Drosophila melanogaster: one gene and its partners. The protein of the gene in region 3 interacts with the protein of the main gene of each other region in a pairwise test. Each region holds a gene or a part of one and is shown on either strand. Other genes may lie near its edges.

Region 1 (3,894 bases), on a different chromosome or scaffold from region 3:
GCTCCAGCACACAGATACTCAAATGCACCCATACACACACACACGCACACTCGCACACTCGGCTGTTGGCTATAAATATTAATTAAAAATGCAACTCATATGGCAAGTGGAACAATTAGCACCTGAAAATATGCAAACATTAAATTGCCGCTGCTGCAGCCACATGGCTGCAAGCAAAAAGTGCAACAAAAGAGTCGAAAATTTAAATAAAATATACATACACCCCATAGCTGCAAACCCTGTTCACGACTGACCATAACAGACACATATTTTGTCCTGGCAATGGCCACATCCTTGCATCCGGTCTGCCAGGATCTAGGGTCTAGCCGGAAAAAAGGGAAATAAACGGGGGATCAGAACGAGACGGAAAACGAACGGAAGGCATTGCACAATTTGCTATTGTTGCATGTGCATATTTACTGGGCACTTGCCACTTTTTCCACATAGCGCTAACTTAACTGACAAATAAATATTTCGGTATGTTGAAAGATTTCGACGCTCAACAGTCGCCTACAAAACGGGGGAACCCCAATTCCAGAGCGTGTGTGTGTGTGTGTGTGTGTGTAGTTGGCAATATGTAAAAGCTACGCGCAGCATATACTCAAAATCCAAGCCAGCAGCAACAAACGCAACAAATACACCAGCACAAAACATGGCCACATATTCACACAATCTCGCTGGAACTGCTAAAAAATCGACAAAAACAACCTGTTCGGAAACACTTGCAACAAGGACATCACCACCGACAGAGACGGGCATAGAGCCAGACAGAGAGGGCAGGTCCTGCCATATTTTCGGGGTGGGTGTGAGAGGCAAATCGAGAGAGAGAGCAAGCGAGAGAGCGGCCAGGATCAAGCACCGCCTCCTTGCGAAAAGAGATGAGTGCACAGTGGGCGGAACAGGGAAAATAATTTAGTAAAATATAATGTTTTGGTAAAAATCTAAATGGAAACCATGCGAAAAAGTTTTATTTATTGTAAAATATTTGAAAACATTTACCTAATGAAGTTTAAGCGCAACTACTTCAAGATATTCAACTCTTTTGAATGAATAAGAGTAACTTCTCATATAGATGACCCTAGTTTCAAATCCTTCTAAGTTTAATCAATTAAGTTTTTTAAATAATATCACACAACTTTAACAACAACATTGCCCATTGTACCAATGCATCACATACAGCACAACAAGGTTTTCGAACAAGCCAACCTGTCCGTGAATGCTAGCCAACCAGGAGTCGTCCTGGCTAGGACTCGCACAATAAAACCACAGAATATGTTCGCCAACTGGCAAAGCAGATGGAACGCTGGAGAGACGGAGAGTGGGCCAAAGAAAGAGAGAGAAGACCGCTGGAGAAAGAGAGGACAAGCGGGAGTGAAAGAGCAAGAGCAGGAACATAAGGGTGGTGCTCTCTGCAGGACCTGAATCTGAACAGACTCCGAGCAGAATCAGGACAGATGGGCCAAGTGCCGCGAGTGCGGAGAGTTGCTTTTTCCCAATTGAATGGGACAATATGAGAATACGAGAATTCCAACTGGACGCGGTGGTTGTGGCAGCGGGTACTTAAAGAGGAACAGATTGCGGGCGGCCAGCAGTCGAAACTGGAATTTCGAATCGCAAGGAACTGTATAGAACCAAAGACCCAAAGTCCCTACCAGAGCCAAGTGAAAGTCGAAAAGTGTATTGAAGTGAAAATGAATCTGCTCATGGATAGCATGCCGTCGCACGCGAATCCTGGCCAGCGTCGCCCAACGCCGCCTCAGCACGCCGAGCTTAGGATCTCCACATCACCGCAACAGTCACCGCAGCAAAATCAAACCACTAATCACAATAACAACAATGAGACACCCACATCGCCACCGGGTGGAAAGACCACTCTTAAACGCGCCTTCGATGTGGCCTTCCTCATGATGCCCGATGAACGGATTAAGCAAAAGCAGGCCGAGAAGCAGGCTCGCCTTCAAGAGGCACTGCACCATCATCACCACCAACAGCAGCAGCAGCAGATGAGCCACTATCCCACAGATTTGTCTCCTCGAGGAACCTCCTCGCAACCACCTTCGCCGGCGGCACTGGAGTACATTAGTCTGTTGGAGGCACGCCAGCGGTATCCACAGATCAGCATCCGTTCGCCGCGGGTTTATGATGATCCCAGTGTGGTCATACCCCTGGTGGATTCTCCAGAGGCACCATCAACTTCTTCACCACCACCGCCCATGCGCAGCGCTTTTACCAAAGTAGCCTCCTCGTCGCTGTCCACTTCATCATCCTCACCATCGACCACTTCACGTTTGGAATCACCCGTGGATGCGGGAGCTCCGCCCTTGAGTCCCGATCAGCTAAGCTGTCACTCGATAAGTCCACCATTGGTGACACCTCCACCAAGAACCAATAGCGGTGGCCAGAATCCAAATCCCCTGCCAGCAAATCCCATAGTCTACCACAACTTCCGACCGGAGTATCAGTTCAACGGAGCCTTCCAGGCGGTGAATCCCATGCAGGCTCTGCAGGCACAGCAGCGCCTTAAGCAGCAGTTGTTGTACACCCGTCCACCAGGACCTGGAAATCCCAATGGAGGAGGACCTACTATGCAGGCAAACTCACCACCGGGTCCACCGTCGGAGTTCCTGCATGCCTATCCCGGATTTGCTCCGCCACCACATCCATTCGCGGTATCCCAACCTCTCCAGAATCCCGCTGCAGCAGCCATTCTCTCCACGTTGATTCCACCCACATTGGCATCCACTTTTACACTGACCGCTCAGAATGTGTGCGCCAAGTGCAACATAAGTTTCCGGATGACCAGTGATCTGGTGTATCACATGCGATCCCATCACAAAAGCGAAGTGGCCTGCGATCCAAATCGACGGAAGCGGGAGGAGAAACTCCGATGTCCCGTCTGCCAGGAGACTTTCAGGGAGCGACACCATCTAACGCGACACATGACCGCCCACCAGGACAAGGCCAGTGATCACCAGCCGCAGCTGGAGGACTCATCCTCATCTGCCGGTGACAACGAGATCATCAACGTGGTCGGCGGCACACCGCCAGGTCGCCGAATGGGTGGTATGCCCAAATGATCGAAGCATTTCTTCGGATATTTTTAAGTCATCAAGTCAACTAACTCCCCAAAAACAAAACCCGTTGCCCATTTTCGATTGTGATATTAACTTTAGTTTCCCCCACGCTCCGATTTAATTTCCCCTTAGCTTTAAATGTAGTGCAATTTGTATCTTAAATATGTAACTGGATCTCCCTGTATCTCAATTAATTATCTTTCTTATCGAAGGACCCGAAAGGATCTTCAGTTTCATCATTGTAAGATATTATGGCTAAGTTGCAAATTCAATGTGTGGCTGAATGTTTCAATAAAAATCTAATTGTTATGCCAATTCAATAGTAATCACGTTTTATTAATAAAATTTGGGTTAATGGGAAATTTTATCTTGTAGTAGATCTGAAGTATTCTAAAATCATGTTATGAAAATGAGCTTGAGGATTATTGCAATCAAATATTTTTGAAAAGCTTAAACAAAAGCCAATGAGTTGTCTATGCTTTCGAAATAATGTGATTAAGCTTATATAGACGCCACCTTAATAAGAAATCCCAAAAGACAACCGAGCTTAAAATTCAATTAATTTTTGAAAAAAAGAATCCCAAACCAGGGATTCTAGAAGACGAAGATATCTTGATTTGGCAGCATATGGAGTTCTTTGAATTCCTGGCCGGACAACCCATTATTTCGATTGTGAGGTAGACCGAAAACATAGGCTCCCAGGACCAGAAAAAGCACCAGATTTTCGCGGGTACCAAAAGTAACATACGCCATGTTAGTAGAGCGAAGAATATGTTCAACTTATTAGCGCAGTGAGGCAGTGAATTCTGTAGTTGCGATT
Region 2 (4,019 bases), on a different chromosome or scaffold from region 3:
TAAATTATCGAGTGGAAGAACTCAGAGAAGAAAGGCGTCAAGTTTGGTGAAATCGACGGCAGGGAATATTAAATTATTGATTTAATATAAGGGTGGTAAATCAGACGTAGCATACATATTAAAACTGTTGGCTATCTGCCCTGAGAAAGCCAAAATCCTGCGCTCATTAATAAATCAGCCTGTTGCATTCGCACACATATAGTTGGGGCTACAAATATAGGTACAAGCATGTTAGTTACAAATGTTAGTATTTTATTTAATCTGGTTAACAACAGTGGTTAATATTTTTGCAGTCGGTCCCGTACTCGGTCACGTACTCCTGTCGCGGAGATGTCTGGATGTCTGCCAACGACAGTGGCGAGAGGTGCTCACAATTAATAATAAATATTGTCTTAAACGTTTGGCTTTGCAATAAAACGTATAAAATTCCTAAAAATTTTCACCTATTATTAAAAGTTATTAGCTATTATTGCAACCGCCACTACCCTTACATTGATTTACCCCCTGGTTAAAAGAAAGAATTAAGTTTCAGCTTAAAAGTTATCGTTTATTTAATAAAATTTACAAGGACTATTGTGCTGGGCGTTGCTGATGACGACACACGGGCCGTGCTGCACCTTCACGGAGCTCTCGCTGCGCCAGTCGCACTCGATGGGCACAAACTGACCCTTCCGCATCATGGTCTTGGGCTTGGTGATGCCGTAGCAGGCGTGCTGGAAGACGCTTCTCGAGATGGGCAGGCACTGCTCGTAGATCTCCACGATGTCCGCGTGCATGCTGTCCACGGAGAAGTCCTGGCCACAGCGCAGCTTCTGGTGGATGTGCAGTTTGCTGCGTCGCGAGAACTGGGTGCGACACCTCCGGCAGTGGAGGTCCTTTAGCGGCGAGCTGGTCTGATCCCTTTCGATGGAATTGACGGGGGTGGAGAGCTCGTGGAGCCGCTGGAATTGGCCCATGATATTGTTCAGGATGAGGAAGTTCTTGTTGGGCAGCTGCTGGAGGGTTTCGCTGATATGATAGGGCACCACATACAGCTCCTTGGTGGTCTTGCACTGCTGCAGTCCGTAGAGATTGACGCGCATGTTGGGCGGGAAGTAGCCGTTGCACTCGCGGAAGTGCTTCAGGTAGGCGGAGCGCAGACTGGCAAGCTCTGCCTCGCTGGTGGAGCAGCCGGTAGTGGCGGTCAGGCCCTCCTCCTCCTGAAGCTGCAGGGGTAGGGCGAAGACGGACGAGTCCGCTGACTGACCGTCCGCCTCCACCCTAATCCTCTTCACCTGTACTTTCAATCTGGTGATGCTGCACTCTGCCATGCCGTACTCGCTGCTGCAGTTGAGGTAGTTTTCAATCCTCTGCATAAGCATCTCGTAGACCACGCCCACGGATTCGTCTACGTCGTAGTGGTGGTCCGCCCTCAGCGAGCCGCTCTGAAAGATCAACACCTGGTCCATGGCGTTCACGTAGCAGGCCAGATTGAACTCCACGGCCACGGTGTTGTTCTGGAACATCCAGCGGAGAAGCTCGGGGATTCCCCTCGCACAGGTCTCGCCCATGAAGTGTTCCAGCTTGTCCTTGGAACTCTCGTCGCAGAAGAAGAAAGTCTCGATCTGGCGGGCCTCGATAATATCCATAACGGCCTGCTGTTGCTTGGTAAGATGCAAGCCCTGTGATGCTTCTCCTCCCCGCAGCCAATGCTGGGAGGGCGGCTCATCTGCGTCGATGGAGCTGTAGCAGGTGGCACATTCGTGTAACTGGCCCTGGGAAAACCACTGGTGGTGGAATGTCTGCGTGGTCTCCTCGTTGGTAAAAACGAAGCTGGAGATTATGGGCTCGTCGAACATGATTGAGATATGGAAACTTTGGATTCGAAAACTAAAGGTGGATATAGCTTTGTTGGACGATTTACCAATTTCAGGCACAAATAGATGATTACTCTTTCAGTTTGCTCCGGAAGCACTGAGATGTATCTATGGCAAGATTCAGTTGCTGAGTGATATCCTTATCTTCGTCCACCTGGCTTATATACAAACTAGTACTACAGGGTAACAGGTAGACTGTGAAGGTACATATATCCTTTGGTGTTACAAATCTACTTGTGGATTTTCCTTTTACCTAATCCGTCATATATTTTATGAGCATTCAAGTTGTGCTAATAATTGAGTACAACAGCAGCTGCGCGGTCATAAAGTTTTATTAGGTATAGGTGTATACGGTATAATCTGTTTTAAAAATGATAGAGCGGCTGGTATTAGATAAACGACGCCTACGAAGGGATTGGCAGTCTAATAGATCACCAATTACAAAGCACATGCTTAAGATACCCACACGCAGGCTTACCAATGCTCTCAAACAAGAGGAAAAAAACAGCCAACGTTCATATATCGAGCAACTCTCTCCCACCAGCACTAAGTACCCTCTTTGGAGAGCTCACAGAAACCTAAAGACTCCAATAGCGCCAATTATGCCACTACGAAGTCCCTCTGGCACCTGGTTTCGAAGTGATGAAGAAAGAGCCTGTGCTTTCGCTGACCATTTACAAAATGTATTCCGACCAAATCCCTCTACCAACACATTTATTCTCCCTCCTTTAATAGCAGCCAATCTAGATCCTCAAGAACCCTTTGAATTCCGACCATGTGAACTAGCAAAGGTTATCAAAGAGCAACTGAACCCAAGAAAATCGCCTGGCTACGACCTAATAACTCCAAGAATGCTCATTGAACTCCCAAAGTGTGCTATTCTTCACATCTGCCTGTTGTTCAACGCAATCGATAAGCTTGGATACTTCCCTCAAAAATGGAAAAAGTCGACCATAGTAATGATTCCAAAGCCAGGAAAAGATAAAACGCAGCCATCATCATATAGACCGATAAGCTTACTAACATGTCTTTCAAAGCTGTTTGAAAAAATGCTACTCCTTCGGATTAGCCCTCATCTTAGAATAAACAACACACTTCCAACACATCAATTTGGCTTTAGAGAAAAACATGGAACCATCGAACAGGTCAACCGAATCACGTCAGAAATTCGTACTGCTTTTGAACATCGAGAATACTGCACAGCCATTTTTCTAGACGTCGCGCAGGCATTTGACAGAGTGTGGCTCGATGGACTTTTGTTTAAAATAATCAAGCTGTTGCCCCAAAACACACATAAGCTACTGAAGTCATACCTATATAACAGAGTGTTTGCAATAAGATGCGATACAAGCACTTCACGCGATTGCGCAATCGAAGCTGGAGTGCCGCAAGGCAGTGTACTGGATCCAATCTTATACACCCTGTATACGGCGGATTTCCCCATAGACTACAATCTAACAACCTCCACGTTCGCTGATGATACCGCGATACTCAGTCGCTCCAAATGCCCAATAAAAGCCACGGCACTCCTATCCCGACACTTATCATCTGTAGAACGATGGCTTGCCGACTGGAGAATTTCAATAAATGTTCAAAAATGCAAGCAGGTTACCTTTACCTTAAACAAACAAACATGCCCACCACTGGTCTTGAATAACATATGCATTCCACAAGCCGACGAGGTAACATATCTGGGTGTTCATCTGGACAGGCGGCTCACTTGGCGCAAACATATAGAAGCCAAATCGAAACATCTTAAACTTAAAGCAAGGAACCTCCACTGGCTCATAAATGCTCGCTCTCCACTTAGTCTGGAGTTCAAAGCTCTTCTATACAACTCCGTCTTAAAACCTATCTGGACTTATGGCTCCGAGCTGTGGGGCAACGCATCCAGAAGTAACATAGACATTATTCAGCGAGCACAGTCAAGAATTCTGAGAATTATCACTGGAGCGCCGTGGTACCTTCGGAACGAAAACATACACAGAGACCTAAAAATCAAATTAGTAATCGAAGTAATAGCTGAGAAAAAAAACGAAGTATAACGAAAAGCTGACCACCCATACAAATCCCCTCGCAAGAAAACTAATCCGAGTATGCAGTCAAAGCCGGCTGCACCGCAACGACCTCCCAGCCCAGCAATAAACTTATTAGGGCATTAAT
Region 3 (4,920 bases):
TTCCTTGTGTTTGTATCCGTATCTGTACGTGGTACGTATGCATGTATATCCCCATTGTATCTTCACAAGTATATTCGTATCTGTCGGATTGTTGCTGCAACATTGCAGTATCATCGGCATTGAGCATTGGCCAGCCAGTGGAAAGGGGCAGACAGAGAGACGGACGGACGGACAGACGGACAGACAGTCCTTATGGAAGCCATAGAAAATGCTGCTTAGTATTTGTATTTGGGCCTGAATAATTGCATCATCGTTGGCACTGCCAAACTGACACTTTGTGCTAGTTGGGAGCACAGATACAAATTGTAGCAAATTACGTTTGAGCTAGTGAAGTAATAATCATTATCAAATCGAAGTCCCAATTTCAGATGCAGCCATAAAATCAGCAATCATTCAACATTGGCGTCGATTAGGTGTTCAAACACCCCCCTCCCCCCTTTTCACATGCTACTATCCGTCAGCCATCAGTCGGTTACGGATGCATCGCGCACACACACACACACGAATATACATACATCTCAACACCTTGCATTATCGCATTTGCTTACTGCTCAGTTTTCAGCTTTCAGCTTTCAGTTTTAACTACCGCAAATGCCACGCAACTGGGAAAAGAGCAAAGTCGCCCACTCTCAACTCTTAACCTTTAAAACCCAGGCAACCGCACATCTGTGTATAGCCAAAGCTAAAGCTGTAGCTGTAGCCGTAACTTCAGCAGTAGCTATATATAAATATACATATGTATGTAGTATATAAATATAGATATGTATGCATGTGCGAGCACAATACGCACCACGCACTTTAAAAGGGCAAAAACAAATCAAGCATCCGCCGCGTGGGCGTCGCCCCCAAGTTCACAGTTCACATGACATACACATCATCATGATTGCCTCGCTTGTCGTGATAATGATGATGATGATGAGTGTAACCTGCACTGGAGGCTGAAATAATATTGCGAGACACACTCCACCCACTCGCATAATGAGTTAATTTATTTGGCAAAATTTACATACCGTATCAGGTATCAGGTATCAAAGGGTTTTCCAGCAGCTGTGTCGGCTGCTTAGCTCGACCTTTGCGTTCGAATACGAATCTCAATTCGAATCTGAATCTGTATCTAAATATGCAACCGACCGAAAAAGAAACAAACGCCACACACAAATGCCACAAAATTGCGTCTCTTAATTGGTTTGACTTGAAGGCATAATTGCTGAATTGCAAATCTATTTTACATGAGCTTAACTACTCAACAATGCCTGGCCATTTTCAATTCTCGTACAACAAATAATTCCTGGCCAAAAGTGTGGAAATGTAAATAGAATCGGCTAAAGTGGTTTGAGCGCTGAAAAGGGCATCCCTACATCTACATCATTCGAACTGTTTCGCTATATTTATGACCAAACACCAAATACCAAATACATTCGTTTTTAACCCGACGGCTGGAAGATATTCATATTTCAAAAGCCGGACACAGTAAGTTACTGGGTTTTCTGCTTATTGCTTTGAGTAAGTGAATGTAAAAATAGAAAAATCTAGTTAGTTGCTGAGTAAGTCGCTTGAAATGTAACAACAAACACACTCGTAACAATGATGTTCGATGCACAAAGGAGCTCCGTTGCAATCATATTCATGGGTTCGTACCTCTGGAGTACTAAAGTTGATCTATTATAACCGCTATGCATATATCACAGGCGCTATAAGTATGGATTTCTTAACAACGTAACTATCTTATAGCTTGCTAACTACAATCTTGTAAGAGATCACTGACGATTGCACTACTTATGCAAGAGTTAGGCAACTGGATCGTTGCACTAATCGCAGTAGATTTTTAATTAAGGTCACTGGCTCATAGCCATTAAATCCATAATCATACTAAACCTATTCATACTGCTAACCAAATGAGATTAGGTGTGAGTGAGTGTGAGTGAGTCAGGACTAAATTGAACTGTCTTCTCACCTGGGCAGATTCTGGAGGTAGCGCATCTGCTTCTCGCGCCGCAGTTCGTCATTCAGGCGGCAGTAGGTGTTGTTGATGCAGACGCTGCGCCGCAGGTTCGCCTCCGAGTCCTTGATCCTCTCCATCTTGTGGGCGCAGAGCTGGAGGATCCGCTTGCGCTCCTCGCGCTGCCGCAGCTTTGGCGAGATCATGGGCACACGGGAACGGTGATGGTGATAGCCGATGGGCGGGGAGCAGCGGGGTGGTCCAAACATGTCTGAGTCTTCGTCGCTGCTGCTGCTGTTGTTACTGCTGATATTGCTGTGGTTGTTGTTGCCGCTGCCGCCGTCGTTTGCAGATGCGTGTGTGTTTGTGGGCAAGGTCATTGTGCGTTTTTCAAGCAAGTGTGTGCCTTGTTTGCTGGCTTGTTTATGTGGTTTTCTTTGACAGACAGAAAACAACTTTGCTGCTTTGATTTGCAATTTAATTTTGATTCGAGTGATTTTCGATAAATTATTTGAAACAAGGAAGTCACACCACTCGGCTCACATACGCTCTCTTTTGCGAGCTCTTTTTGCTCTCTTGCACTTGCTGCTGCTGGTACTGCTGGTGCTGCTTCTTCTTCTGTCTGACTTTGCTTTTTCTTTTCTTTTTGCTGATTTCTGTTTTTCTTTTTGTTGTTGCCTTGCGAGATTTCACTTGGCTGTTCACCGTTAGTCGAGCCTGCCGCTTTTGTTGTTGTCTTTGAAGTTTGGCAAAATTCAAAATAATCCAGGACTTTTGAATTTTTGTGTTTTATTTTTTTTTTTTTTTAAGAACTTGCACTTGCTTACGCTATGTAGTCAAACACAATAAAAAAATTCAACAAAAATTGTCAGATTTGTTTGTTTAGTTTTAGGCACACAATTGACTCAAAATTGCAGAGGGGTCGGGGCTTCACATTAATTGTTTCTATTTCTTAGTGGTCTCTTCTAATTTTTCGGTGGCCGCCTGTTGAGGGTTTAAGGTGAGGGGTGAAGAGAACTTTGTGCTTGGTCACCGTGGCTTACTGTTTCGGTTCCTGTTTCAACCGCACACGTCCGCACGGTTCTCGCGTTCGAAACGAAATAAAAACGCAAACGCTAAATGAAAGACGTTCGCTCGCAGCCGCTGCCGCAGTGGCGTCGCTGCCTCTGCCCTCGGTGGCAGAGCGCACAGATGTTTGCGTTCAAACGGAAGTGGCTTAAGAGAGCGCCTAAGAGAGAGAGAGTGAGAGAGCGAATGGCCTACGTGCGTATTTGTACATGCATACACACAGCTGAGGCAAACAAATAATAACACCTAGGCGCTTAAATAAAAGTTTTTAGGCCAATCGTCTCAAGCTAAATGATTTGATTTACTTTATATAGGTGCTCTGTATGAACTAAGTTAATTGACATATTGCATTAACAATCTTTACAGACACAATAATCTTAGTTCCAACTTGCAAATTGCTAACATAATTTTTCCAATATTCCCACATATCTTAAAACTGTAATTACATTTTCAGTGCTATTCTCTCCACCTGCACTGTACATGTGTATGTATATTTGTCGCAAAGATTTTTACTCATTTGTAACGGAAGCAAATCGCTGGTCAGTGGGTGGTGTATTTGTGTTGTCGTGGGTGTTTGAGTGGTTGGGCGCTTCGGTGATGAGCATAATCCGCATAGTTGTTGCTCCTGCCCCTTTATTATGTAAAAATAGTGACTTTGGCTGGATTTGGCTATGCAAAGTACTTGCTAAGGCAATCACCTACACTTGCGGCAACTGCTAATTGAGAAATCCACACGGCGCTGACATGGAATCATTCGAATCCATTGAAATTGCCAAATTAGGCGTGGGGGTAACCCCTTGAACTTATCGGCTCGGCTTAACGGGTTTAACAAAATTAAATACACACATATGCGCATGTATACATATGTTCATGCTTGTAGAGTGGCTCCTATAGTCTGTTTTGCGAATCAGAATCCAAGTAGAATAGTTTTTTAAGTGTTGTCTCAAAGATGTATGCATACATGGATGTATGTATGTATGTGTGCTTATGACTCTGTAGAAGGTCTATAAACTATGTATTTTGAGGTTTTGAAATGCGAGCTCGAATCAACCCCCTTCCCCGTTTCCAGCTCGATTCATCCTCTTCAACAAGTTCATCTCATCATTTACAGTTTTAGCATGATCCGAAAAATAACAACAACAACAACGACAACAACAAAAGCAAGAAAGTGGGCACAAATAATCGTAACAACAACAATTGTGAGGTCAGTTTGGCACTAGTCAGCGTGTGTGATTATGTGCGCACTTATGTCTGCGTGCATGTACATACATACATATGTTTGTGTGCGAGCACAAAGAGACAATGCAAATTTGCACTCAAACAAAGAGAGAGCGAGTGCAAGTGCGAGTGCGAGAGAAAGGGAAGAGTTCATGAGCGTGCGTTGTGAATGGCTGGAGGGGTCGAGTGCTGTGAGTGGGGGGATCTTTGTTTATCATTTTTGTGTACTATTATTAAGGCGCCGCTGACGGTCGATGACGACATACACACACACACACACACACACACGCAAATGCAAACATAGAGTTTGCACGTGTTTGTGCAAAGTGTTTAGCCGCAAGAAGTAAAGTTCTCGTTTTGATTTTGTTTATTCAAAATTGAAATTCCCAGAAACAAAAGCTCCCATGACGATGATGATTCACATGCCAGACGCTGCGGGGAAAAACATCAGGAACTTTATCAGCTAATTGTGTCACAAGAGGACAAATAAGCCAGAAACATTTGCCTGCGCGCGTTTCTTGGTATAGTGCCATCAACTCGATCTCGATCTCAGTAGTTCATCTTTTATAATGCCCACACACACATACATATGTACATATATGAGCATATGTACATATGTACATAAGTCATATGTACATATATGAGCATATGTATGTACATAAGTCATATGTACGTACATACGTTTTTGATTATCT
Region 4 (4,977 bases), on a different chromosome or scaffold from region 3:
CTCTTTGGCGCTGCAATTTTGCCTGCCCTTTGGCAACACCTTTTTTAAGGGGGTGTTGCAAGGGTTGGGTGGCAGGGGGCACCCTTTTGTTTGCGCCGATTTTTTGGCACTTTTTTTTCGGGGGATAGCACGGGTAGCAATTGTTGTCTCGTGGAGAGCGGCGGGCATTAAATAAATAAGAAAAAATATATTCGCAAGGAGGCGGGCTGCATTCCGTGCAATTTTCACTTTACAACTGTTTCAAAGTTATCTTTGTTTCAATTGTGTGCACGACGGCGGCAAAAAGCGAGCAGCAAAAAATATTGGCAAACAATTTACTTTTTGGCCAAAATGCGAAATAAAAGTAAAATGTGGCAAATAATTTGCCCAAAGCTGCGGCAGGTTGAACACGGAATAAAGGGAATCTGCAGCAGGATATCAAAGAGGACTTTCCCCTCATTGATTTATTGTCCTTTTGTGCTGGTTGCAAATGGGGAGCTTCCTTTTTTTTTTTTGCTCTGTAGCCTGGCTCAATTGCAATTTAAAGACACAGTCTGTTTATTTTGGGCAAAGTCGGGCCGAAGTCTCCAACTCCACTTGAGATAGGCATCGGCAAAATTAATCATCTTTGCATGCCAGTTGCCAGATAGTTTGTGGGGCCAAGTTTGTTTAATTTCGATTACCAGCTGACGGGGCAGAGTCCTGTGCCCGGTGAAAGATGCAGGATGAGCCGGCCAGGAGTTATAAATGGCAGCACCGACAGCACCAGCATATAAAACTGACATCCACTGACAGCAGCCAAAATGATTAATTAGACAGGAGGCAATCTTGTTGCTGGTGGAACACACACACTAGGTAGGTATTCCCAATCGAAGATGCAAATGTCAGATAAATGTTTAATTTCTGCTCAGGGCTTCGATGGGCGAAAATGGGAATGGAAATTGGCGCTGATTTATACATAGAGTATATTTAGAGTATATTTAGCTAAGGGGCGTAGTCGAAGGTGATAACAGGCGACAGGTTTTCGCCAGGGCGAAATCTTTGATTTACGGCATTTTGGAGCCGTTTCGAAATGCGACACAACACACGCCGAGCAGCCGGAAAATTAGTACAACTTGACTAGCTGGCTGGCTGACTAGCTGGCTGGCTGGCTGGCGTTTTCCCCCGGCTTTTCCAAAAGCCCAGCGAACAGCATTTCGTATGTAGCCGGCGATTAATATCCATCGCAGTCGCAGCTGCCCAGCGCCATCAAGCAGCTCGGTTTGCCCAGGGAAGAGACGGAAAACAAGCGGAAAGTATATGGATCGAAGATATGTGGGCCAACCTGTGCGCAGCCATCTCTGATCGATTAGCCAAACTATCGTGTTCGAGGGCTTTTAGTTCCGCCCACAGAGAACGGAGCTGCTTAAATAGCCATAAATTATAATTTATGGCAGCGGTGTTGCCACCGTTTCAACCGTTTCCACCGAACATGTGCAATTAATCCGTCTCTTTAGCTGGCTTATCAATTGTCAGAGTCGGAGGAGTGGAGCACCGAACGAATCGTGGGCGTTTCCCCAGCATTGCGCCATCCCCAATGCTCCCCAACTAAGCGTTTTCAATTAATTTCGGCTCTTTCTCACACCTTCCATTTCAACCGATGAGCTCTGCCCACTGACAGTTTTATGCTTTGTTTACACTCGATAAACAGAGTGGCAAGCGACCAGCAATATGGCCATAAAACAGGTTCTTAAATGGAGGTGCGGCATCGCGGTAATGGTGTTGGCCAAGTTAGCTACCTGTCGTCTGCTGTTTCAGCCTGCGCATGCGGTTTTCCTGGTCAGGGGTAGCTCTACCTGGTTCTCGGTGGGTGGAGATTACTGGCAAGGCGGCGGTGCTGTTTCGGCGGTGCCAACAAATCAAATTGAGATGTGGCTGCAATTGGTCGGCCACTGGGAGGAACAGAGAGGTGGCTATGCTATGCAATGCAGGGAATAATGCCATTATTCAAGATCGACTGGCCGACTTTCATGTGTGAAGAGCGTGATATGACCAATAGATATAAGAAATCGAATGATCTGCCATGTTAAACCGTACTAATTTTAACTATATTGTAGTTTTAGCTCATGGAAAAGGACTTTCGTAGCTGAAAACCAGCGAATGATTATAGTTGAACAACAATAAGTTCTTTAAGTTCTCAAAGCGTATAGAAGTTGCACAAAGTGACCCAGTTTTCTCTCAGTGTGCTGATCGGGCAAACTTTTTCGGTTTCGGGCTCGCTCTCTCCTTTTTGAGAACCGGAGCCCGTTCTCTGCGTAGGAGTAGGTAATGGTAATTCGAGACCTGCCTCGATCCTTACTCGCCGTTTATGAGTTTGTTTTTCTATAGCTACTCATTCTTATGATCCCCTGAAGGTGGAGACCACACATATACCCAAGATGGCGGATGGTTTCTGGGAAACTGCTAAGCTTGCATGTGGGGATCTTCAAATCGAAGCTACCGAGTCTTGGCGCGCGAATCACTTGAACACAAAGTTCTATGGCACGGCTGATTGGTGATAATGGAGGCGGTTTGCGGATGAATCACCCGAGATCTGTGCTCCAGATCCGCGTTCTGATCACTTACACTGCATGGCGAAGGGGGAGGTGGAGGGCATGCTCTGCTGAATGATGGTATCCTCTTGGCCGAAACGTGAAGACGACGGCGCCAGACAGGACAACATTTGGAATGCTTGTTGCAACACTTGCTCTACTTTGATGCGGATAGTTTGTTTGGCTAGTTGGCTAGTTGGCTAGTGGGTTCTTCTGGGCTCGGCGTTATTTCTTTCTTATAGAGCACACACGTGTTGTGGCGGCCATTTGGGCAAGGGCCTTGGGTTTTTTATCTTTCGAACATGGGAAACACTGGGATTTTTCTTCGCGATGCGCCGCTGCGAGTGTCGCGTTTGTTTTTATTTTGTGGGCGATTTCACTGATCTGCGTTCTATATCTGCGTGATTCTACTGTGTGCTGCTCAGAGTTTTCTCTGTGGGTGAGCGACGCGTGTGCTGCCGTCGCGACGTCTACGATGCAACTGAATTCAGAGTTCTAAGTTTCGAAGCATCAAGCCAAATCCGAGAACGAAACAGAGACCGACGTCCTCTACCGAATCCGTCGGATGCGAACTGTGAGTTTCGGGCGAGGGCGATACGGCGGGGTTCTACGTTTCCACGGAGAGCGAGTGAGAGAGGGCGGCGCTGTTTGTGTGTGTGCTCCGTGCCACCACCAGCATAATATAACGGTGTAACGGTTCACCGTTCCGATGTACGAGGTGATTCGGGCGGGGGTAGTGTGGTTGGTGCTCTAATGCTCTGATGGGTGGTGTGTTGGTGGTGGTGCCAGAGAAGCGAGAGCGCTTCATTCTTAACATAACAGCTCTCTGTTATCGCATATCGTAAATGTTAAGCGCTGTTAGTGCCGCTCCTCTCGGTTATCCCGTGACGTAAGCACTACGTAAGGGTGGCCTCTTTTGTTCATCGTGCTGCTCGTAAACATATGGCCGTTATGCGGGATTTGACTATATTAACATTTGCACAAAATTTCGTTTTTATTGATAAAGCGACTTATGAGTCTTTCCATTAACTTTTCCGCCAACCGTCAAATTTATTTCGGTGTTATTTTATTAATACTCTGTGCTGCTGGGTATCAATATTAAAGTGTAGAGCTTAAGTGATTTACATATTTAATTGTTATAATTAGGAAATATTTTTAATAAACAGTTTAATACTCAACAATAAATAGGAATTATCTGAAATTCCCAGAATTGAACAGCAATAAGATAGTTTAATTATATACTTGTATTATAATTTTTTAAGTCTTTCCGGTAAATCAAGTTTATGACAAAATATTCCCCGTGTGGGAATTACACACATATGTATGCATATCGCTATGATTAATTCCCCACTCAAGAAAGCTTTCGATCGTTTTTCTTTCGGGTAAATTTGGCGGTGCGAGATAAAGGGGATTTCTTTTTTCCAGGGAATCCCTTAACCCTTTCCTGGCCACATCGCTGCGTTAACGGACAAAATCATTTGCACTTGCGATTGCAAAATTTCCTCTGCTGCGATTTCCGAGTAAGAAATACCGAAATCGTTCCGCGATTGCCACACATTAATGACATCGTTTGCTGATGGGCGAGTTCTTGAGAATGTCCATCAATGGACACGTCTACAAAATGACAGAAGAACAGAGATCCAAGAGATCCCGGACAACCGAAGAATTCTAACGAAGAGAGCAGAATGCGAGTGGCTTGATTCTTTGGCTCCATCAACAAGTTTTGGCGGCCCCTTGGGATGTTGCTTTTTTTGTACTTTATATTTTGCTGCTCAAAGAAACATATAGATTTGAAAACTAAAAGTATAAATGGATAAAAAGATATTTATGGTAACAGAAATTGTGTTATCGAAAAAAAAAGCGAAACATGCTCTCTTTGATAAAAAGCAAAAACAAAAGGCGGACTCGACAACATAATAAACAATTTGTACATTAATTTTTAATGCGGTTAACATGTGTTCCCCCTTCTCCCTCACACACCCATACACTCACAAACGCGGTCGCTACGTGTGTGTAAGTGTAAAATAGGTGGAGCTTCATAATTTTCTCACTTGAAACGTACTGCCATGAGCGGGAAAGAGAGCGCCGGCGGTGCAAGCGAGAGAGAGGGAGAGAGAGATAGCCGCCGGAGAGGCCGCTTTTTTTTTGTTGCCTCGCATTCATTTTGTATGTTAATTAGTTGCCGTTCACTCGCGTGCGCGTGTGTTGAGTATCTGTGTGAGGTGGCGTGGGTGTTTAATGAGAAGCGAGCAAGGTGCGCACATTGGTCGTCCATCGGTTGCACCTGTTGCGCTCGTTCGATTGGCGGAAAAGCCCCAGGGAAAATTGGAGGCTGATGAAGTGGGAAAATGACTCAATAAGATATATGCGAGAATGAATCAGAATAGATATTTATGTCTGGACTTGAAAATAATTCATCTCTTGCAAT

Evidence for each region.
Region 1: the proteins of CG2865 (region 3) and CG13287 interact in a two-hybrid assay, tested with the Drosophila melanogaster proteins (one large-scale study listed by BioGRID).
Region 2: the proteins of CG2865 (region 3) and term interact in a two-hybrid assay, tested with the Drosophila melanogaster proteins (one large-scale study listed by BioGRID).
Region 4: the proteins of CG2865 (region 3) and zfh1 interact in a two-hybrid assay, tested with the Drosophila melanogaster proteins (one large-scale study listed by BioGRID).

Annotation. Positions count from the first base shown.
Region 1 is NT_037436.4:5,880,716-5,884,609, forward strand, and holds CG13287 (uncharacterized protein), read left to right. Parts: upstream 1-1,588; 5' UTR 1,589-1,691; coding exon 1,692-3,077; coding exon of another isoform or gene 3,078-3,104; 3' UTR 3,105-3,375; downstream 3,376-3,894.
Region 2 is NT_037436.4:18,591,774-18,595,792, forward strand, and holds term (terminus), read right to left. Parts: upstream 1,999-4,019; 5' UTR 1,839-1,998; coding exon 552-1,838; 3' UTR 530-551; downstream 1-529.
Region 3 is NC_004354.4:2,290,371-2,295,290, forward strand, and holds the start of CG2865 (uncharacterized protein), read right to left. Parts: upstream 3,042-4,920; 5' UTR 2,983-3,041; exon of another isoform or gene 2,924-2,982; 5' UTR 2,320-2,923; coding exon 1,955-2,319; intron 1-1,954.
Region 4 is NT_033777.3:30,763,987-30,768,963, reverse strand, and holds the start of zfh1 (Zn finger homeodomain 1), read right to left. Parts: upstream 3,039-4,977; 5' UTR 2,681-3,038; coding exon 2,584-2,680; intron 1-2,583. UniProt on the Drosophila melanogaster protein: Involved in the development of the embryonic central nervous system, embryonic mesoderm and adult musculature.